Linked DNA regions of Coturnix japonica. The protein of the gene in region 2 interacts with the protein of the main gene of each other region in a biochemical or structural test. Links are inferred from orthologs where the notes say so. Each region holds a gene or a part of one and is shown on either strand. Other genes may lie near its edges.

Region 1 (3,173 bases), on a different chromosome or scaffold from region 2:
AGCAGAAGGACCCAGCCACGATCCTCAGATTCTGAAAGAGAAGGGGTTGTTTGTGCAATTAATGGGCCCAGGATAACAACCTCCGTGTCCACCAGTAGATGTGGCATTTACAGCTCCTAAGCATCAAGACTTGAGAAGATAAATAGGAAATCAGGGCACCGCATGAACACACAAGGAAACAGTGCAAAATAAATACATGCCAGTTTTGCTACCAGAGACCCACTGCAGCACTGCCTGGATGCTCAGAGCTGTGCAGCAAATGCCAAGCTGTGAGCTGCAGCCAGGGAACACATAATTAATGTGATTAGGAGCACACAGAGCTAGCATGCTCTGCTGACTGAAAAGCCCAGTAGCATAATTACTGTTTTCTGTACTAGCTCTATGTCTGAACAAATCTCAAAGCCTGGTTAGTTTTAGACTGCTGTGTAAACGTCAATAAAAATCCCAGAAGTGCCAGCTCATCAGCATTCTCAGGCACAGAAATGGTGAAAATATCACTGCATTTCCATGCCGTTAACATCAGGCAAAGAAGTCTCTTTTCTTCAGTCTAACCTTAGAGTTAGTAATAAGGTAACATCTCCCCCAAGTGAATGCTTATTATGAAAGCTAATTAATTGCTTTCCAGTAATGAGAAGTCTTTGGTGTTCAAAGAAAGCAAAATTCACTACACAGGAATTACACAGTGTTTATTCAAACAAAGCTCCCCCCCCCATTGAAAGACCTGGTTCTGATTAACAAATAAAACCTAACAAACTGAACATACATACAGAACACATACAGGAAGGAAACGCGTGCTGAAATCAGTCAAAAACCTATAGTATTAATTGAAGTGAAAACTAAAGCAATGCTTTGTAGTTGCCTAGATTTCCCTGGGGGATGGAGAGTCAATGCTTATCTGCCTTCCTCAGAAGAGACAATTTTGATTAATATCAGACCCATCTGACTCAGTCTATTAAACCCTGAAGGAAGGATATTCTTCAGATATAAAAGATATGTCTTTGATTAATAATTCTACCATATTGCCATTCCAAGCATTAACTGCATGGCACCTGTGGAAAGAAAAAGCCTTTGAATTCTACAGAAAATAACTAACTCGTGCTAATAGACCTGCTCTCCTTCGTCCAGATCTGAAGGCTGCACGACACTCTCCCTCCCATCCTCTGCAGAACAAGTCCAAGTGCCAAGGTTGTCACTATTTTCTCGCAAAGACGACACAATGGTTATGTAATTCAGGTTTATGTATAGCAAGAAAGCAAAGTTACTTCAGATTTTCTGAATGCTTTGTCTAAAGATACTGACAATCTGTCTAGAGGATCCTCTATAGTGCTGTCACAGTTTAATAGACCACAAGAGCCTACAGCATCATGGCCATTGGGTACACTCTTAAGCTAGCAGGGGCACGTCTTCAGAGAAATGCATTAAATCACTCATCCCACTACACTGGGCTACAGTGCACGGTGTAACTAATGCCAAATTGTCATATGTAGAGCAGGGAAAAAGTCAATGTAACATCCTCTGAGTTTTTCCTGGAAGTCTGTAGCTTTGATCAAGCAGCATGAGCCTTCTCATCCTAGCTGAGCATTTCTCCTGATGCTCGCAATCAACCTCTTGCTGTATTCTCTGTAGTTTACAGGTTTGACGTCCAGTGCTGTTGCCTTAATACGAGATTCATCCTGTGAAAGGAAAGAAAAAAAAATAGCATGCAGAAAGAATACTCAGTGCCCGAGGCATTTGGTTCTAACCTCTCTGCCCTGGTAACTCACTGTTCGTGGTACCAGGATTAGCTGGGAGAGCAGACAACTCCCAGAGCAGCTACACTGCCTTTCATTTGGAACCAGCCATGCTGGAGGAACCAGAGAGGAAATGGCTTTAAAGGCAGAGGATCCTCCTCTGGTGCCCAGGATTGACAGTGGTTGCTGTAAGTCACTTGAAACTTCACCCCACAAAGACGAGAGGAGGAAGCCATCTCTTATGGCAGCGCTGCAGAGGATACTTACATTGTACGTCTCCAGTTTTACTCTGATCTTGAACTCATACGTGTTGAAATTTGCATTTTGAAAGACTTCTTCAAACGCCTGCTCGTTCTGCAAGGAGGACAAAGAACAGATACCAGCTGCACACACTCAAGCTTCTGGTAGTGCTATGACCCTTCACAACAGCTTATCTTTTGCTAGCGTTCACAAAATATAGGAACCAACTCATTCATGCACGCAGACCTGAAATTACCCCCAAATTTTACATGCCAACATCACAGCTTAAAGCTTTTGAAAGTACAGTTCAAGGTGGAAAAAACTTGTTAGAGATCTAAACAAAATAAGGCAGAATTGTAGCGAGCCTGCAGCCAAACAGAGCTAACTAATTCCCTGTTAGTTGTCTTATCAGTCGTTCAATTTCTCTGCTTATCCATTGAGGCTGTGTGTATCCTTCATATCTTGACTGACCCACTTAAACAATGATCTACAGAGGAGTGGATGCATGTTTTGAGCATCTTTTATAGCCATTAGAAGGGCATGTCACATTTACAACATAAGCTACTTCTAATTACCATATGAGCACTAAACATAATCATCATTTATTGCAGACAATTTGTCAAAACAATAGAAAAGAATCAGATGAGCTGAATACTGGAAAGTTTGTTCTTGTAAAAATGTGTTAAAATCTTTGCTGATGTTCCACAAAAACGCTGCAGCCCCATTGAGATGCAGACGTGTCATTATTCATACATTCATCCACCCAACACACTCGATCAGTGCATCCAGGAGAAGGTGGAGCATCCCCTTCACTCTCATTCCAAGTGTTAAAGCTGCTGGTTTGAATGTGCACAGTGCTATTTTGCACCACATTGTGATTCTTCTAAGGTTCAGAAAGTGCAACAAACGAAAGCAAACAGAAGTAGCAAGCTGCAGACTGCAAAATTTTGGCACATCCTTCCTGAATATTGAAAACCCTTTCCTGAGACCATCACACGGATTAGAGGATAAGGAAGGACATTTTATCAAGGATTTGGCTTCCGCTTCTACCTCTGCCACAAGCTATACCAACCATTAGTGAGTGGAAAATGCTGCTAGCATCGCAGTCACTGCTACCCCACGTTAGTTTTTAGACTAACAAGTGTGGTAGAGGAGGAGATGAAAGACTTGGCACGCACATGCTTCACACAGTCCCTGGCTGTA
Region 2 (4,201 bases):
ATAAGCTTCATTAAAGACATAAGGCTGTTTAAGGCCTATATATAAAGAAAAAAACAAACAAAAAAAAAACAAAAACAAAAAAACAAAAAAACCAACACATTTTGGTGTATTAGATTCCCAGTAAATTACCTACAAACCACAACTTCTAATACAACCAATCTACCATGGATTAAGATATCATATACCCACTAAATATATGAGGTAATAAAACTGCACCTTCTGCCTATCCCAAGACCAAAATATATTACTTTAAAAATCCCAGTTAAAATCATACAATTTCACTTTGCAAAAAAATCATTTGTGGATTAGAGAAAAAGAGAAGGAAATGAGAACTGAAATGACAGGGCTACAATGAACAATTAACTGTTTAGACAGTTGACAGATTGATGAGGGAAGAACTGTAGACACCAGTGGAGTTTACAGTTAAAGAAATCTGTTATCTGATGATTGACTACACATCTAAAGTTTGAGAAGCTGTAAAGTAGACATTTAGAAAATATAGAGAAAACAAATTCACATTTAAAAACAAAGATAATTGACATAAAACTTATAGCAGAAGTGATAGCAAGCTTCATGGAGTAGTTTACATGTCAGTTGTCACCAAGACTGATGAGAGATCTAAGAGAAATAGTACGATGCAAGACAGAAAAAAAGTAGGAGATTCTTCAGTCACAGACACACTGTGCCTAACAAAGGCAGCAGAATGTCCAGCATGACACATCAGTTATCAGAGGAAGAAACCAGAGCTTGAGAAAAGGTCTTTGGAGATATGATTCTTGTACACTCATGGAGAAATAAAACAAACCAAACAAGAAAAAATAATAGCAGGTACAAGATAAGAAATGATGCATAATGTAAGAAATTTGGAAAGCATCAAGACAAATGGTCAATAATGACAGTAGTTTAATAAGAATACCTCAGAAGCAAAAAGCTAGAAAGGGCACACCAACCGAGGAAATACAGCAAGTCTATCAGTATCAAGGTTATGTGTTCCAGGACTGCATAACTGCCTACATAAATTACCTACACTGCCTCTGTGTGGTAGCTAAAAAGGGTCTCCCCTACAATTAGAAGCAGAGTTTAAGCTCAAAGGAGCTGTTCTACGAGAAGCAAAATGAGTCAAGCCCAATTTCCCTTGGATTTGCATCACTCTATCTTCTTTTACCAGTAATTTCAGGTTTGAACTTCAAGGTCCTCAAATCCTTGACTTCAGCTTCCTCCCATATGCCTCCACCCTCCACTGTGTTTCTTTCATGTTTGTTTTGCATGTGTAAAACACTTGAATTCCTCCTCTATAATTACCATGACTCAATTATGTACATTAGCTGACCAATAAAGAGGAAAAGAAAAGCATACTTCTGAGCTTACACAGAAGTCCAGCCCACAGTGAGATCATCGCTATTAAAAGACTCATGTGTAAACCTCATTATTTTTTGAGCCTTCCTTGACAACTACCTAAACACAAAAGCAAACCTGGAGTACCAAAGTAGTTTTACTTCTTTGTTTTAATGTTGATATTCTTTTTACGTACCATTTTTTTATCCTCAATGCCAACACTGGAACTCAATAACTGCATGTTAAAAAAGGCCAAGATACCAAGCAATTTAGGTTGCAGATAATCAGCCTGTAGAGAGGGGGAAAAAACGTGAAAAAGTAAAAACAAGTAAAATTACTGTTAACACACAGATAAATTGCTAAGTTTAAGTAAGGAAATAGCAAGTATGAAATGGTAATGCTGACAAATGGAAAGATTCCCAAGCACATACACTGTTCATTAAAAAGTAGCAGTGTTCGTGAAAGACATCCCTGCTATGCTGTGGGGTTTTTTGTTGGTTTATTTTTTTATCTGTGTTCAATGCATTCTTGTTGTGCATCTCTGTATCTCTGTATCAGAGGAACACTCAATATGCAATGACAGAATTTCCTCTTCACTTCTGTCTCAAATAGGATTTATACGTGATGCTTAGAAAACTCAAGTTGTCTCCCAGACTCAAGATTAAAAATATTTATAGTAAATAAAAACAAATGAATATTTTGATGGACTTACCATTTGCTCAGAGGATGTTATTTCCCTTGGTCCCTGATAGGGATCATCGTGAGATGCAAATGAAGCCAATATAGACAAACCATTGAATACTTGCTGATAGTGCTCTCCTATACGTAGCAATAATTCATTATGCAGTCCCTGGTAGTCTTGTCTCAACAAGCTGCCCAGTTCAATCTCAGTCTCATTCTATTATCGACAAAAACAAGTCTTACTTTCACCACAGTGAAATTAGCACACAGAGACAAGGAACAATGGACTCAGATTGATTTACCACAGGAATAAAGAGAAAGCTCCCAGTCAGGTCAACATCACATAATCCAAGAGTTTTCAAGTTCACAAAATATCTCACAAAATACTCAGAGCCAACAGAACTGACAACAAATAATAACAAAAGAACTTGATCTATTTCCCCAGCTCTGCTTTGCAATACTTTTATTTAAATAAAACAGAAAGAAGAAAGTTCACTATTCATTCATCATTGCTCTCCACCTGCATTTGTAACCAAGCAAATATTAATTTACCTTGAGGTAATGAAGTGCCCGCTCAAGCTCATCCTTAGAACAGGAACAGACCAAATGAGAGAAGATGTATTTGAAGTTGTTGATTAAAATCTCTCTTCGGTTTACATTCAGCTGTTTTGCTATGGTTCGAATAAGGATGGAGGCAGCAGGACTGGCCTTGGCTGCAAGGTCAGGCAGCAAAACTTGCAGGGTCCGCTGATAAATTAAGAACAACACTTAATAAAATAAAAATAATTTAAAAAAAAAAAAAACAGACAGCAAACTAAAAACCAGAATTAAATCATACCAAATCAATATAACCCACACATAAAACACATACAGACCAAATCACCCTCCAAAAACACCAAATCCAGGTCCTGGTCAACATATATCTACATTCCTGTGTATAGCCATAGTTATAAAAAAAAGAACTTGAGATAGAAGCATTTCATTAAAAAAAAAAAAAAAGTTGATTTTTGATTTTTTATTTTTTAAACAGAACTGCTTCATTTAACCAGTACTAAAAGATCCCAATAAGAAGTGAGATGCTTATCTGAATCTTACATGCTTCGTAGATTTGTATTTTGTTTGCTGGTAGAAGAGAAATACAAAGCAGTTATTTATTCAGATCAAGATTATTTATCCACAAAACAATTATTTCTCCATTTAAAACAGGAAAACAGGCACTACACAAATCACGCCTTAAATCATTAGTGTAGGTATACTCAATTGGTATTCTGGACTACAGACAGTTCATTAAACATCATATTTGAATTAGCTGAGCCACCACTGTATCTCTTTAATAAAACAGTTCCTCTGTACTTGAGCTCTTCCAGCAATCCAGAATCATTCTAAAAATAACAAACAGCAACTAGAAAAAAATCATCAGATCTGTAGTAAAAAAAAAAGGAATACAGACTAAAAAGAAATCCACAAGCATACAATGCCCCTCCCTCACCCTCCTCCCCCACCCCCCCAAAAAAAAAAAAAGTAAAAGGGACTAACCAACTTACTGACAAAAAGCGATTTAGATCTGGAAAGTCAAATACATTAGCAATCTCAGACAACATGTCCAGAGCCATTTCCCTTTGGTGAGCAGCTTCTTGTTTGTGCAGCTCATTACCCTGGCATGGAGCACTTAATACTGCCATCTGGCTGGAGTGCAAGGATTCCACTAGAAACTAGGCATGAAGAAATAGATAATAAATATTATTCCCCTTTTTTTCACTCCCTAAGACTTTCATTTTTTCTATGCATCTGTTTTTGTTTCTCTTGTATTGCACATAGATCTAAGATAATTATTTCATAATAGAACTGGATTAATGATGGCATTTCATTTTGCAATCACGACCTCAGATGTTGCACACACCTAAAATAGATTCCTCTTGTTCTATCTTTAATACTTTGTACTTTAAGCAGAATTTCTGCCTTTAGGAAATGCTAACCGTGGCATGATTATGCCTGTAATAAAGTTTGACTTAAATTCCTAGTTTACATTCTAGCCTCCAATGACAATGGTACCATATAATGCAAGAACATATACAGGTCCTCTATGTCAGCATTAAGGCACCTAGGGAATAGAAGTGAAAATCAGTGCTGAGAAGGGAGAAGACTAATGACAAGATCAAATACTTTCCACTTTTTCCATAAAGTG
Region 3 (4,770 bases), on a different chromosome or scaffold from region 2:
TTAGCTGACTGGTAGACCTATTCAAGAAATAAGCAAATTATTTCCTGTTCCTTCTTGAGTGAGAAACACAGAGAACAGTTCGGATCCTGCAGCTCATATAAATGAAAGTTTCTCACCAAAGCCAGCAGACACCTCCACCCTGCTCCCCTGGCATTCAGCTCACTGCAAAGCCATCCTCCTGCAAACCTGAGGTGGAGCTGTATGGAATGTAAGCAATGTCATACCGAAAGAACCACCCTTGTTCCTGCCCTGACCTTACTGGAACTGCTGGGTCACACTGGGCCAAAACCTGAATCTAAGGCAGAATGTTCACAAGCAGCTAAAAATACTGCAAGTTGTGTTCATGTTTACCTTCCTTGCTGGAAACTGTCTGTGCAAACCAGTTTCCTGAAGAAGAAGAAGAGGGTCTGGCAGCAGTTTCAGCATTGAAAGACTCTTTTGTAGGAAAAGACCTTTTTCCAGGCTGCGGAGGACACCCTTCTGATTTCATCTGGATTGCAACGTTCTTTTTAGGGCTACAAAAAATAAACGAAAACAACAAGATACCAACAAATTCCCCTCCAGCTCCAATGAACCAATGTCTGTTTTGGGAGCATTTTATTAAAGATCTATTTCTATTTTATTACAGATCTATTTAATAGCTTTCTTGGTACTGATGTTAAAGAGGTACTTCACTCTACATCCCCTGCATTTCTGTCCCAGCATCTGTTTAGGTCAAAAGAATGGTTTTGGTTGTATTTTCTCAAGGAAATGGACCTAAGAGTCACACAGAGACAGGAAACATCTGTCCTAATTCAAGTGTGAACAAAAAGAAACACAGGTTATTTCCCCAAACCCCCATACACACCTTTGTGGCACAACCGTCTGAGTGACGTGCTTATTTCTTTCACAGTTCTGAAGTCGCGTTCTTAATTCATTCATTTCTGCATCTTTGAACTGCAACTCTGACTGCAGTGACAGTAACTGGAAGAATTAAGGAGATGGTTTTACTGTTACAGAATAGGCAAGTGTTAATCCAACTGCAAAGCAAATGTCTGTAAGATCTCAAGGTTGCAGGCTTCTTTCTGTGTGTTGTGTTGAGGTGACTGACTGAGCTACAAACCTTTTTGGAGAACTCTCTTTCTTTTTCACCAAGGGCCTGAGATTGCTGCTGTTCCAACAGCACGTACGACCTCTTCTGCTCCTCCATCTCACGCTCCATCTGCTGCATCCAGTCACGCAGAACTTTGATTTCTCCATTTTTAGTAAGAATTTCATCCTGCATTTCTTTCAGCTGCAAAGAGATGAATTCCATTAAGCAGCACATTCAGCATTTAGTATCTGTATTGCTCTCTATGTGGTCAAAGATGGAGTGTGTTGCTACAGCTCAGTTTAGATATCCCACAGTCTGGCTTCTATTTCTTTTCCTTATTAAATCAGGCTCCGTGACATTCTCTAATAGAATTACAGTGTTTTGGTGTCTGACGGTGGGCTTTTCTGCACTGCTTCCATCCCTTTTTTGAGGGAGATGGTTTCCAGCTACAGGAGGGGGGATTTAGAATGGACATAAAGTTATTGCAGTGATGGTGGTTAGGCACTGGCACAGGTTACCCAGAGAGGTGGTGGTGCCTCATCCCTGCAGACACCCAGCGGGCTGTGAGCACCGATAGAGCTGTGATGTCCCTGCACACTGCAGAAGGTTGGAGGGCCTTAAAGTAAAGGCCTTAAAGGGCCTTTAAGGTGATGATGGTGTGGTCTAAGCGGTGCCTTTCCACAAGGCTCAGTGACCCCATCCCCTTAAATGCTCTTCTTTCAAACCATGAAGGACACAGCGCTGCTCCGGGTTTGACAGGACAGATGAAAGCCGACAGATGAGCACCCGCTGCTGGGCAATGGTGGCACCACACCCCGCAAACTCATTGTGCCGTTCCCACTCAGAGCCTTTCCCAGCGCGGATCCCGACCCTCCCGGCCCAGCACCGCGGCCGATCCCCCCTTATATTCCCATGTGCTCTGACCTTCCTCCGTGTATCGTCGTGCTGTGCCCGCAGCACCTGCAGCTGGAAGGGCGCTGTGAGCTGAGCGCTGTGCGGGGCCGGGCCCGGCGCGGTGACACCCGGACACAGCGGCTCACACAGCGCCTGGGAAGCGATGGTGTCGATCTCCTCCAGATCGTCCGCCGTGAAGTCGTCGTTGTCCCCGAAAGGATCTTCCTCCGCCCCGCTCCCCGGCGGCCCCTTGTGCCGTTTGCTGGGCGGGATCCCGTTCCGCAGCGCACTGTCCGCAGCGGGTCCCGCCGCCCGGCCCGGCCCGCACATGTCGGTACCGCTGCGCTTCCGCGGAACGAACGGCAGCTGCAACGACATGGCGGCAGCACCGCTACGCCGCGCGACGGACGGGAACCCGCGCGACGAACCGTGGCCAATCAGCGGCGAGAGCTCCTCCTGCCCGGCCAATGGCAGACCGCACCTAAGGCGGCCCCCGAGGGTCAAGCGCCGCCGCCATTGGTCGCCGCGTGACGCGCTGTGAGCAGCTCGCTGATTGGATGGGCAGGGCGGTGGGATGAGTGACGTCACACCGACGTAGTGACGCCACGCTGACGTAGTGACGTCACACCGCGCCATGCCGTGCGGCAATACTCGATATACGGAAATACTACGTCACTTGTTGCCGCTGCTCCGTGACGTTCCCCAGCTGTGAGCTCCCGTAACGCCGCACTAACATGGACGCACAGCCCTGACGGGGACAGCTCGGAGCCTGGATAGTGTTGGTGTGATTCCGGTTCCCAATAGCAGCAGCAGTCGGGCGGCCGCTCAAGGCCCCAAGCTGTCACCATGGTTACACACCCCGTCCCGTTACTCCGTGTCACCGCGCCGCTCAGCAGCAAAACAAACACGGCCCGTCTCCTGCGCCGCCCAATGGCCGCTCGCGGTGTCCCGTAAGCCCCGCCCCTCGCCCATCTCGACCAATGGGGATCCTGTTCTGCCGTCGCAGGGGGGCGCGGGGCGGGACGCGTCATTGTGACGTGTCGCTGCGCGACGCCGCCATTGGCCGGAGCGTTGTCCCGGGCGGAGCGGTGCGGTGCGGTAGCGGCGGGCCGGGCCGGAACGGCGACGAGCGGCAGCCGAGCGGCCATGAGAACCGAGATCTCGACGGCCGCGGCGTTCGTCACCCGGCTCCTGCGGGCCGCCGGCGGGATCGGTGACGAGCAGCTGCGGTGCTTCAGGGAGCGCCTGCAGGAGGCGCTGCGCGGTGAGCGGGGGGACACGGCCCGGCCCGAGCCCGCGGCGCACGGACGGGCTGTAACGCTGACACTAACGCCGCTCTTTGTTCCCTCCCGTAGAACACTACAGGCACCACTGGTTCCCCACGGCGCCCACCAAAGGCTCCGGGTATCGGTGCATTAGGATCAACCACCAGATGGACCCGCTGATCGGCAAAGCGGCGGCGACCATCGGACTGAGCCACGAGAGACTGTTCCAGCTCTTGCCCAACGAATTGACTCTTTGGGTCGACCCTTTCGAGGTGTCGTATCGGATAGGAGAGGACGGCTCCATCTGCGTCCTCTATGAGAATCCACAGCCCGGGGCCAAGGCGAGTAAACCCCTGGAGAGCAGGAACAGCTGTAAGAAGTGGAGAACTGGCCGGTCCAGCCCGTCCGAGAGTTACAACATGATGACTGTTTCTAGTTAGAAGCTGCTGTTTCTTGTACAGCTATTGTACGTATCCCAGTTGTGTGATAAACTCCATTGTAACCGAGGTCTCTCGATTGGTGTTTTTTTTAACGAGTAGTTAATGGTAGTTTCACCCTGTGGCATTCGGGTTGTATCGTACTGCCAATGCTGTGTGGCCAAGGGCTAAAGCGGGTCTTGGATCCGCGTGTTCCTCTGGACCATGTACTGTAAATGCACTGTACAGACGGCTGATTGTTTTACACATTTCTATTTTCGAGGCGATTCTGGTATTTGTAATAAAAAGCCACGTTGTAGCGACTCATGGTGGATTTGTAGTCCAGATGAACACTTTGTTTTTGAAATAAAACAACAAAACCAAACTCCATTTGCAAGCAATAACACAAAGGGGATTAACACAGAAGCCAGGAGCTGCACATCGATCTCCACTGACTTGTCTGCACAGACTTTTCTCAGGGTCATTCCAGTTTGGCTGCAGGGCACAAATCACTCAAGTATTTTTTACCTTTTTCAAGGCACGTGTTCATTTGGAGCCGCGTTTCATCACGCCCCAATGTTCTGACAGGGGTTGGGGGATTTGTCTATCTTCTTTCTAGTTGGCCGAGTAGAATAATAAAGACTTGCTCAAAGTGCTTTGGACTTTTGGTTTTCATTGTTGTCCGGTCTCTGTTTTGTGATTTTTCTCCTTTTCCTTTTGAGACGTTGCTCTCAAAGCTTCCCATGGCTCTCACTAGTCGTTACCGCACCTTTAGGAGGGTGAAGCTCTGCATATTCACCTTTATTTCAGCTCACTTAGTACCGGTAAAGCTTGCTTAGCCCTGCGCCTCAGCAAGGCTGTGTGGTTTGCTGTGTGTGCTGGGCGAAGCTGAATGGAAGCCGTAGTATTCTTTCAACACTCAATCTGCTTCAGAAGGATGTTTTAATTCCCTGACTTTGTGTTTAAAACTGTGGCTTAGACCCATGTAGGGAGCTGGAGTGAAAGGCTGCGTCATTTACCTGCCCCTGGTTTATGGGAGGTAAAGAACTGCCATTCCTGGTGGCAGCACTTATAACAAAAGTGTGTTTCTGGTTTATGTGATGACTTGATAGTCCGGTGCAGG
Region 4 (4,201 bases), on a different chromosome or scaffold from region 2:
AAATAGTGAGCTCACTATTCAAATCTTTTTCCAATAGAAACAGAAGGCTCTTTGTTATTTTCATTAGCAAACAAGTCAATTCAGAAATCAGTACATTCTGTGAATAACTTTCTTTCCTGTTTCAGTCACCGTCACTTTTCCAGCATTTTACACTCCCTTTTGTGTGTGTGTTTTCCCCTTTCTTTATCGAGATGTACATTTGCTACTGAAAGATGTACCACTAGGTGAGTCTGGCGTCATCCAGAAAAGGTCACTCACAGGAATGGTCAGACAGGGCGTGTTTATCACACACTGCATTTTGTTTTTATCTTGCTGTTTTTCAAGCAAACTGGATACGAATCTACTGTATACATTCAGTGCCTCAGCACTGCGTTCATTACCTCAGAATGGAAGAGAAATGCTTGGAGAAACAGACTGAATAGAGTTTAATTTCATGGAAGATTCTGTAAATACCTCTTTGTCCCTTGCTGCAATTATATTTGGTACCTGCCAAGAGTAATACTCTTCAGTGCTCCAAGCACAAAACTGGTGTGATGGAACAGTGAAGAAACCTCCCTTATGGGGCTTGCTAAACCTGAGCAATCGTGCTGCTCTAAATTATGCAGTGTGGTAGTAAAGAGGCTTGAACACCGCAGATTACCCAGTGCTCAGATGTAGTGGGAGATCCCTCTGATAGCTCCTACCAGGGAATGGGAAGAGAATGTGACCAGAGAGCTGTGCTCAGGCTCTTGTCTATAGGGAGCTGTAGGCAATTGCCATTAAGTTAAAAGAACTCCAAGGAATTCTCTAAGCAACGGCAGGTATAGCGCCAACTGCTCAGCCAGCTATGGATTCACACTCCCAGATGCTCTATGTTTGTATCTGGTCCCAAGATTAACAGCCTGCCTTTCTGTAATAAATGATGAAAGGAGTTCTGAAAGCAGGAAGGCAAACTTAGCAGCCTGTCACCCAGAAATACAATGCTGATACATAAAGATGGCACCTGTTTTCAGACATGGCTTTTCCTAAGCAAAGACCTGAGCATGCCTTTTGTTTTTCCTATTATTTCCTGAAGGAATAATGACTTTAATTAAAACCTACCACATTCCCCTTGGCCTCGAGCGTGTGCAGTCTCCAAGCTCTCATTCGCATCTTTGCTTTCAGCAGCTCTCCTCGATGTTCGTGTCTTGGTTGGTAACTCTGGGGCCTGAAGGAAATTGCTCACTACACTCCTCATGCCCTTCTTTCCCAATTCCTTCTCCACCTCTGCAATGCACACAAGAAAAAAAGATTACTGTAATACATAGAATATAAAAAAACCAGAGCACTGCTCCGAGTTAATTGCACAAAACAAATGAAACAGCACAAAGAGGGAGATCCTTAGGGCTGGTCAGCCATTTGGCTATTTATAGTTAGACACGTGCCCTTGTTGAGCTACGTGCAGAGTTCAGGACACAGGCATCCCTTGTCCCTGGAACTGCCAGCCCCAAAGGGACCCAGACTTACCATCTGATATGCTGGACTCCTGAAACATCGTCTCAAACGCCTGATGGATCTCAGCGAAGGAAGGCCTGTCAGAGGGGCTCCACTGCCAGCCTGCAAAAACACCGGCACTGAGAACTTCCTACCAGCATTACACACCCATCACAGTACACGAGGAGGTGCCAACTATCACAGAACCCTTTTTATTAAATGGCCAAAAGAAAACACCAGCATGGAAACTTGGTGTGAATGGTGCTGGGCATCTGTAACCACCACTGAGCCAAAGTAAGGGCAGGCATGGAACATCTCGGGAAGGAAAAATACCACATAACAAGTCACGTACCAAGAGGCCACAGAGGAAAAGCAACACCTACTCCCTTAAGAAGCCTACCAGACTCCTGCCTCACCCCTGCAGCACAAGTTTATCTGTAAGCAGTCAGGGAAAAGGAGAAAAAAAACAGCAAATCTCTCCCCAAGGCCTACGAGCTCCCAGCAGGGAAGAATGGCTGGTTTCATAGTGCTTCCATCCTCTGGGGAAAGCAGCTCTAACCAAGCATCTCCACACAGCACTGCGTCTTCACTAGAACCAACAGAGAGTTTCTTGTATCTGGCTGGATGTGACCAGATCTGGCCACGTTCATTGCATTGCTGAAGAGCTACAAAGCAGTAATGGCATTTGCAAGGCTGAAGAACACTTACATGCTCTCATGAGCTCATACACTTTCTCAGGACAGCCTTCAGGGCGCTCCATCCTGTAGTCCTTCTCCAGCAGCTCATAGACTTGAGACAGGTCAATCCCAGGGTAAGGGGACATGCCATAGGTTGCAATTTCCCATAGCAGAACACCAAAGGCTGCAGTGGGTAGAAAAATAAAACAAACAAACTAAAATCAACAAACTTTATTTTCATCTTAAATTTGAGGAGACATTTAGTGGGAGTAGTCGCTAAACAGTGCTGCACACTTAAACCAGCTCTGAGTGGCTCAGACTCCATGCTCAGTGTTAGCTTCAATGTTAAAGCAGTGGAACAAGCCCCTTCGTCAGCACAGACAAGTCTCCTGCGATATGACAGAATAGAATTAGACTAATTTTGAATGTATCAGTTGTCTCAAACCTGAACGCCTTGAGATCCTTCAAGTCCTATTAAAGGCACAATTAAGAGACTTCACAGTGGATTAGCTGAAACTGTTTCACTGCAGCACTGCAGTCTCTCTCCCAGTTTGACAGCTCCTCTCATCTGCAGTCTCTCCCTAGAGGACTCGCGTGTTTTAATAGCTCAGTGTTTTTTGGGGTGCCCTTGTTTAGCTGCAGACTGGAAGGGAAGAGGGGGTCCCGCTGGTGAGAGATATTCAGTAGTTGCTACCAATGAGACCAAGTCTGCATGAGACATTTTGGTCATGGGGAAAGCTGAGCAGAAAAGGGGAGAGCACAAAGAGGTTCTTTAAACAGGAGAGGCATTCAAGTCCCCAGACTCAGCGGGGATGCAGGTCAGCACCGGGGTCGGGCAGCTAACCCAGGAGTCAGCCATGCAGAATAGACTCAACACCAGTTCAACAACCTGCATGTAATTGGTTCAGTCACCCTATTCTGGTCTTAAACTGAAGAGAAAGCGATTACAATTCTGCATAAGTAAGGAAATCACATCACATTACATGGTAACACCACCAAGGGCAATTTACATTAGACATTTCTGTGCACAATTTTCTTTGATTTCTGTCTGGAGGCAGCGAGGTGAAAAGCATCTAAACCCTGGCATGGCCAGCAGCAGCCGTGACCTCTGGGGACAGCCAGCTTGCTCTGATCAGATCCCAAAGTCCACCGCTCTGACTGTCACTCTGCAAGGTCACACCAACCCTAATTAAAGATACCCAATATCCCTTTCAGATCTTTCTTCCCAGAGCACTCCACTACTGAAGTACAAGGGCTCCCCGCAGCCACCCGGCGCGGCCAGCAGTGTCACACAGCAGCTCGGAGCAGAAGAAAAGCTTAGCTCAGCTCCCTCATCGCTAAAACGTTTTGGATCAGCCGTGCTCTAAGAGTTCCTTCAAAATAAAGCCTCTCTCTGCACCGTCTCCTCAAAACTCCAGAGAACTTCACTGCTGCTCCACCACCGTCTGATCTTTTAAACACATAGGAGATGCTCAGGGTAATGTTTTCAATGTACCCCTGGGATGAAGTCCTGCAAACTTCTATCGTGTATCACCGGGCACTTTTGAGGATCTGACCAATAGCTATGGAAGAGATATAAAACCCAAAGAAAGGCCGATAAAAAAAGAAGTAGAATGAGATTTTTCTGCAGTCAGATTTCATAGAATTTAGCTCCATTTAGCTAAGCCCAGTCTTATCACCAGCACCTCAGGGCTCTTCAATAACCATTTGTCATCAAATTTTCTCTCTGTTTCTGCTCATCTCATTCCAAAGATTATTCTTTTAAAATGCAGAAAGACGAGCTCGGAGCTATCACCAGACAGACAGATACACACATAATTTTTTAACATAAAATGAACCAGATCCTCACTTTTCTCCTTAAAGTAGTTTGAAAGTTCCTGGCGATAAAGCAATATATTGCTTCACAGTTCTGTGCCAGAGCTCCATCAAGTCAGCAGCACGGCTGCCCTCCAGCCCCATTTCATACAACTCTATAAACACCACAGTGTCCTTTGTTTTCATACTTGTCAATGACTCAAACACGTAAAGCCAGGTCTGCAGCCTCACTTCTCCACTCCAAGACCGACTTGGCA
Region 5 (4,986 bases), on a different chromosome or scaffold from region 2:
GAACATACAACACAATTAGCTGAGCTTATAGGCCTCTGGTCAGACCACCCTGTAATGTAACTTTCTGATGTTTTTTAGGAGATGACACCCCATGAGATTTCCACACTCCCCCTTATTTGTATATAAGGCATCAGTCCTAACAGAGTTTGGTCAAAGAATAAAAGCAAGCATTTGCTACACAGTTATATACACTCTGTAATATCAAATGCCATTGAGAAATCACACACAGAAAACTTTAAGTCAGAAAACCCCCTTTAATCGGAGAGGACTGGAGAGTAAGAGATAAAGGCTGCCCGTATCTGAGAACAGCTGCAAGATGGTCAAAAGACAGAAGCAAAGGTACTTACTGCCTCTCTAACACCACTGGCCATAAACTTCCGCTTGTTGATGATCTTTACTGCAACTTTATTACAAGTGCTCTTCTCAAATGCCAGTTTGACTTCTCCACAGGCACCGCTAGCATGAAAGCACAGCTGTGTTAATGCTTACAGATACCTTCCCAACTCGGCCTAAGAAGCGTGCTGACGTGAACAGGAGGCTCTCACCTCATTAAGACTACGTGCAATCAGAGGCTGCAGCTTTCCAGCTCTCTCAATATAACAGATGGACAAAACTATCTCAGACAATATTCAATAGTATTTAAGCACCAAATGGTGTCAGACCCCAATTTCAACCAATTACAAACGTACTTAAACATTCTTGCATGTAAAGTAAATAGAAACATAGTCGTAAGATAGTTTCAAATCTTGAGCAATTAATTCAGAAATCACCACCAATTGCTTTGAAGTATCTCTGATAACCCTCCTATGATTCTGGATATTCCAAGTAATAGATAATGAGACCACGTCTCATTTGTGTTTCATCTTCATTAAAGCCCAGCACAGTGTGCTCAGGTAGCACAAGGTACCGAAAGCAGTAACAAAATGAAAGGTGCTGCTTCTGATAGAAGGATTCTTACCTTCCCAACGTCTTGGACATGATGTACTTCTCTCGGAGCTCTCTAGGAAACACCAGCTGGTCATCCACCGTGAGGTCAGAAAAGACAAACACTGGGAGATGGGTGGAGAGCATCGTCCTGTTACTTCAAAATGGTTATATAACACTTCCCAAGCTGTTAACAGTCAACAACACAACTGAGCAAATGCTGCCTGCTGGAAACAGCACGGAAATAGGAAAGCAAGAAGAAGAAACCAAAACCCCATCAGCTGATGCTGCAATGATGCTTTAGGCAGGAAATCTCATTACTGAGAAGTGAGACCTTGGGTCTGCGCCAAACACAGCGATAAACTTAGGGCTGTTCTTATTACTGCAGCCACATGGTATTCACCAAACAAGATCCAGATCACAGCACACAGAACCTCCTGGTTGACACCCAAAGAGCCCACATGCATCGCGGTGTATTTTACCCTTGTTAGTCTGAATACATAGTGCGATTTCCGAGTTATGAGTCAGCGGCAGCCTCTTCCCCTTCCCAATGAGCTCTCTGTTAATGAACGTTCCATTTGCGCTGTGGTCTTCAATGTAGGCAACGTGGGAGTTTTTTGGTCCTGTTTCCTAACAGGGAAGAAAAAGAAATCAGAAAGAGAGCAATGGCGAAGAAAAGGACGACAGCAGTGTTGGCTCAATGGAGTACTTCATAAACATGGAGAGGGAACATCACTCAGCGCCTGGTTAAAGAAGTCGGGCTGGACATGGCAAACCTTGTGTTCAATAAGATCCCAGCAAAGGTTCACCATTCTCAATTATGGCCATACACAGAAAAAGAAATAACCTTTTTAGCACCTACCCTGAATATTCGGAAGTGCTTCTTGCTGTAGTTCTGGTAAAACCCAGTTTCAGATAATCCGAGCTTAGAAAAACTGTAATCACAGCTTTTGTCTCTTCCGAACCAGTACTCGTCATTGACACAGTCTGCAGAGCATGGGAGAGAGAACACAGCATTGAGGCAGTTATTAACTACTGCCCTGCAGAACGATGCCTTACATTATAGTAAAGCATGATAACAAAGACATCAGCATTTACTTCTCCTGATTCCAATGAAACGCCATATGCTACCAATACGTCATTGAGGAAGGTGGGCAGCCCGAGCTGGGTGCAGCAGCACATGGCAGGGGTGGGGGATCCCTGAGCTCCCCTCCAACCTCAGCCATTCCATGACCCTGTAATTTCACTACATACATCAGCAATTCCATTGAATAACAGCGTCATTTCCCATTCACCTTCAGCGATATATTCACACAATGCAGAAACAAACCGAACCAAACCAAGCTACGGGGCGGACAGACACAGACAGGCAGTGGAGAAGACACGGACTCCGAGCAGAAACAGCCGGGAGCTCAGCGGGACGGCACGGAACGGAACGGCACAGAATGGAACGGGACAGAATGGAATGGCACAGAATGGAATGGGACCAGGAATGGAATGGGCACGAATGGAACAGCAAGGAATAGAACGGCACGGAATAGAACGGCACGGAATAGAACGGCACAGAATGGAACGGCACAGAATGGAACGGCACAGAATGGAACGGCACAGAATGATCCCGCGAATGAACGCACAGAATGGAAACGGCACAGAATGGAACGGCACAAAGAATGGAACGGCCAGATGGACGGCACAGAATGGATGGGACAGAATGGAACGGCACGGAATGGAACGGCAACAGAATAGAACGGCACGGTGCATCCCCGGCCCGACACAGCCAGGAGGCGCACGGACAGGCGGCGGGGCCGGCGGTGACGTACCCCAATTGCTGAAACCTTTTCCGAGCGCGAAGAGCCGACCCCAGGGCTGGGGAACGAGCTCGTCGGGTTCCGGGTCCTCGGGGATGGAGGGCAGCTCCTGCGTGGGCACCGTGTCCAGAGAGCTGAGCGTGCCGGAGCTGGACGAGGACTGGCTGGCGCCCTGCGAGGCGCTGGAGGAGGAGCTGGTTCCGCCCTGCGATGGCTGCGTGCCCTGTGAGTGCTGCACATCGCTCCTTGTCTCTCTGGACATGGCGGGAGCACCCACCGCCCGCACTGACTCCGCTCCGGCTCCACGCTCACAGCTCGCCCCGCCCGTCGCACCGCACAGCGCAGGCGCCGCGCTCATACAGCGGCCAATGGCGGCGCGGTGCCGGGAGGAGCCGTAGTGCGGGCGATGCAGGCGGCGCTGCGGGTGCAGCTGGGCCGGGCGCGGCGGGCGCTGCGTGTGTCCGAGTTGGCCCCGCGGCCGCGGTGCGTCGGACCCGGCTCCGTCCCGTCCCCGCGGTGCTGGAGCTGCGGCGTCGCGCTGTCCGGCCTCGATGCGGTCCCGCACTTCTGTCCCCGCTGCCGGGCCCTGCAGCCGCCGGAGCCTCGTCCCGACCTGTTCCGCCTGATGGAGTGGTGAGTGCCGGCGGGGCGGACTCGAGCGGAGCGGGCCGAGCTGCTCACGCCGCCTCGTGTCGCCCGCAGTGATCGCTCCTTCCGCATCGACACGCAGCGGCTGCAGCGGCGGTTCCGGAGCCTCCAGCGAGCGCTGCACCCAGACCGCTTCGGACAGAGCCCGGCGGTGAGTGACCGACCGCGAGTGACCGACCGCTGCCCTATGGGAGACGCGCTGTGTCGGCTCCGAGCTCCGGGACCGCTGAGCTCCGGGGAGTCGTACGGGACCCCCGAGGGCATCTGCTCCCACTGCCTGCAGTGCTCAGGGACACCCACAGCTCCATCAGCGCTCACAGCCCCGTCCCCTGACCATGGGTGTGTGCAGGGTCACCGCTCTGTGCGCTGCTTATTGACTCATTACTCTTTGGCAGAAGGAGCAGCACTACTCGGAGCAGCACTCTTCCCTCATCAACAAGGCCTACCAGACATTGCTGCACCCCCTGAGCCGCGGCCTCTACCTGGTGAGTGCTGGGATGGGCAGATCCACACACCCATCTTAGGGCCCCGCAGCCGCTCAGTGCTCACACTCAGAGAGCCCATATTCACGTTTCCAAATAGCTGTTTTGTTTTCCTCCAGCTGGAGCTGCGCGGTGTGGAGCCGGCGCAGGAGACGGACTGCGATGAGGATAAGGAGTTTCTCATGGAAATCATGGAAATCAATGAGAAATTAGCAGAGCCTCAGAACGACGAGATCCTCGGGGAGATAGAAACGTTAATTAAAGGTGGGCCTCGGTCTGCGGGTTTTGTACCGAGTGAATTTTACATCCCTGTATTGTCTACTGAAACGTGTGGGGTTTATATTGAGGAAGAACCCTGGGTGCAGTGCTGGAGATCAAAGCAAGTTGAGCTGCTGGGAAGTGAGCAGCCACTGGTGTGTGTGTGTGTGTGTGTGTATATATATAGGTACTGCTGGCTGTAGAGCTGTGTCAATAAAGAAACACTGCTGGAAGGATAAGGAAAAAGGCTGGCAGTGCTAACACAAGGAGCTCTTATCTTCCAAAAGACCACACCACAGACTGAGCACGGCTGTATTAGATACAAATATGAAGCAAAAGCTGAATAAGATAATTTGTTTTACAGACAGACAAGAAGAACTGACCAAAGAGGTGACTGCAGCTTTTGAAAGAGGTAATTGTTTTATTAAATAGCTGCTGGCAAGGAAACCTTCAGATTCACCTTGAAAATGACAGTTGTGCCCTCCTCTTAAATAATCCTCTTTGTTTTAATTTCTTTGTAGATGACCTTCAGGAAGCTAAGAAGCTTCTTGCCAAAATGAAGTACTTTGCAAACCTGGAGGACAAACTAAAGAACAAGAAGATCCCTTCCTGATAGCATCTCATTTACTATTAAGAATTAATGTAACTTTTATTAAACTGTTGACTTGCACCAAACACAGACAAGTGGTGTTTGCCTCTTACACCTCTGGTACAAGCTTTAACTCTCAGAGAAGGAAAACAAAGCAGCCAGGAAAAGCTGCATCACGTGCCTGAGGTTACCATCCTCATGGAGTTCTGGGTGTGGAAACTATCAGAGAGGTGCTCACAGTGTGCAGTTATGAGTTTTTACCACTAACGTCCATAGA

The links.
Region 1: the proteins of ATR (region 2) and RPA1 form a complex in vitro, tested with the Homo sapiens proteins (2 studies listed by BioGRID, with this or other methods). The link is inferred for Coturnix japonica from reciprocal best matches to the Homo sapiens genes ATR and RPA1.
Region 3: the proteins of ATR (region 2) and ATRIP form a complex in vitro, tested with the Homo sapiens proteins (4 studies listed by BioGRID and IntAct, with this or other methods). The link is inferred for Coturnix japonica from reciprocal best matches to the Homo sapiens genes ATR and ATRIP.
Region 4: of the proteins of ATR (region 2) and ABL1, one has a biochemical effect on the other in vitro, tested with the Homo sapiens proteins (2 studies listed by BioGRID, with this or other methods). The link is inferred for Coturnix japonica from reciprocal best matches to the Homo sapiens genes ATR and ABL1.
Region 5: of the proteins of ATR (region 2) and CHEK2, one has a biochemical effect on the other in vitro, tested with the Homo sapiens proteins (2 studies listed by BioGRID). The link is inferred for Coturnix japonica from reciprocal best matches to the Homo sapiens genes ATR and CHEK2.

The regions. Positions count from the first base shown.
Region 1 is NC_029534.1:4,234,126-4,237,298, reverse strand, and holds the end of RPA1 (replication protein A 70 kDa DNA-binding subunit), read right to left. Parts: intron 2,085-3,173; coding exon 1,998-2,084; intron 1,674-1,997; coding exon 1,566-1,673; 3' UTR 666-1,565; downstream 1-665. UniProt on the Homo sapiens protein: As part of the heterotrimeric replication protein A complex (RPA/RP-A), binds and stabilizes single-stranded DNA intermediates that form during DNA replication or upon DNA stress.
Region 2 is NC_029524.1:8,872,049-8,876,249, forward strand, and holds part of ATR (serine/threonine-protein kinase ATR), read right to left. Parts: intron 3,729-4,201; coding exon 3,561-3,728; intron 2,764-3,560; coding exon 2,569-2,763; intron 2,234-2,568; coding exon 2,048-2,233; intron 1,625-2,047; coding exon 1,532-1,624; intron 36-1,531; coding exon 1-35. UniProt on the Homo sapiens protein: Serine/threonine protein kinase which activates checkpoint signaling upon genotoxic stresses such as ionizing radiation (IR), ultraviolet light (UV), or DNA replication stalling, thereby acting as a DNA damage sensor.
Region 3 is NC_029527.1:2,068,113-2,072,882, forward strand, and holds the start of ATRIP (ATR-interacting protein), read right to left. Parts: upstream 3,006-4,770; 5' UTR 2,603-3,005; coding exon 1,997-2,602; intron 1,274-1,996; coding exon 1,103-1,273; intron 964-1,102; coding exon 848-963; intron 516-847; coding exon 352-515; intron 1-351. Other genes in the region: protein BTG1-like, read left to right, coding at 3,113-3,230, 3,322-3,671. UniProt on the Homo sapiens protein: Required for checkpoint signaling after DNA damage. Required for ATR expression, possibly by stabilizing the protein.
Region 4 is NC_029532.1:4,616,691-4,620,891, reverse strand, and holds part of ABL1 (tyrosine-protein kinase ABL1), read right to left. Parts: intron 2,314-4,201; coding exon 2,161-2,313; intron 1,576-2,160; coding exon 1,486-1,575; intron 1,246-1,485; coding exon 1,081-1,245; intron 1-1,080. UniProt on the Homo sapiens protein: Non-receptor tyrosine-protein kinase that plays a role in many key processes linked to cell growth and survival such as cytoskeleton remodeling in response to extracellular stimuli, cell motility and adhesion, receptor endocytosis, autophagy, DNA damage response and apoptosis.
Region 5 is NC_029530.1:6,772,237-6,777,222, forward strand, and holds the start of CHEK2 (serine/threonine-protein kinase Chk2), read right to left. Parts: upstream 3,101-4,986; 5' UTR 3,091-3,100; coding exon 2,745-3,090; intron 1,912-2,744; coding exon 1,787-1,911; intron 1,555-1,786; coding exon 1,407-1,554; intron 1,050-1,406; coding exon 959-1,049; intron 457-958; coding exon 348-456; intron 1-347. Other genes in the region: iron-sulfur cluster co-chaperone protein HscB, read left to right, coding at 3,139-3,365, 3,435-3,531, 3,776-3,865, 3,982-4,126, 4,485-4,532, 4,642-4,733. UniProt on the Homo sapiens protein: Serine/threonine-protein kinase which is required for checkpoint-mediated cell cycle arrest, activation of DNA repair and apoptosis in response to the presence of DNA double-strand breaks.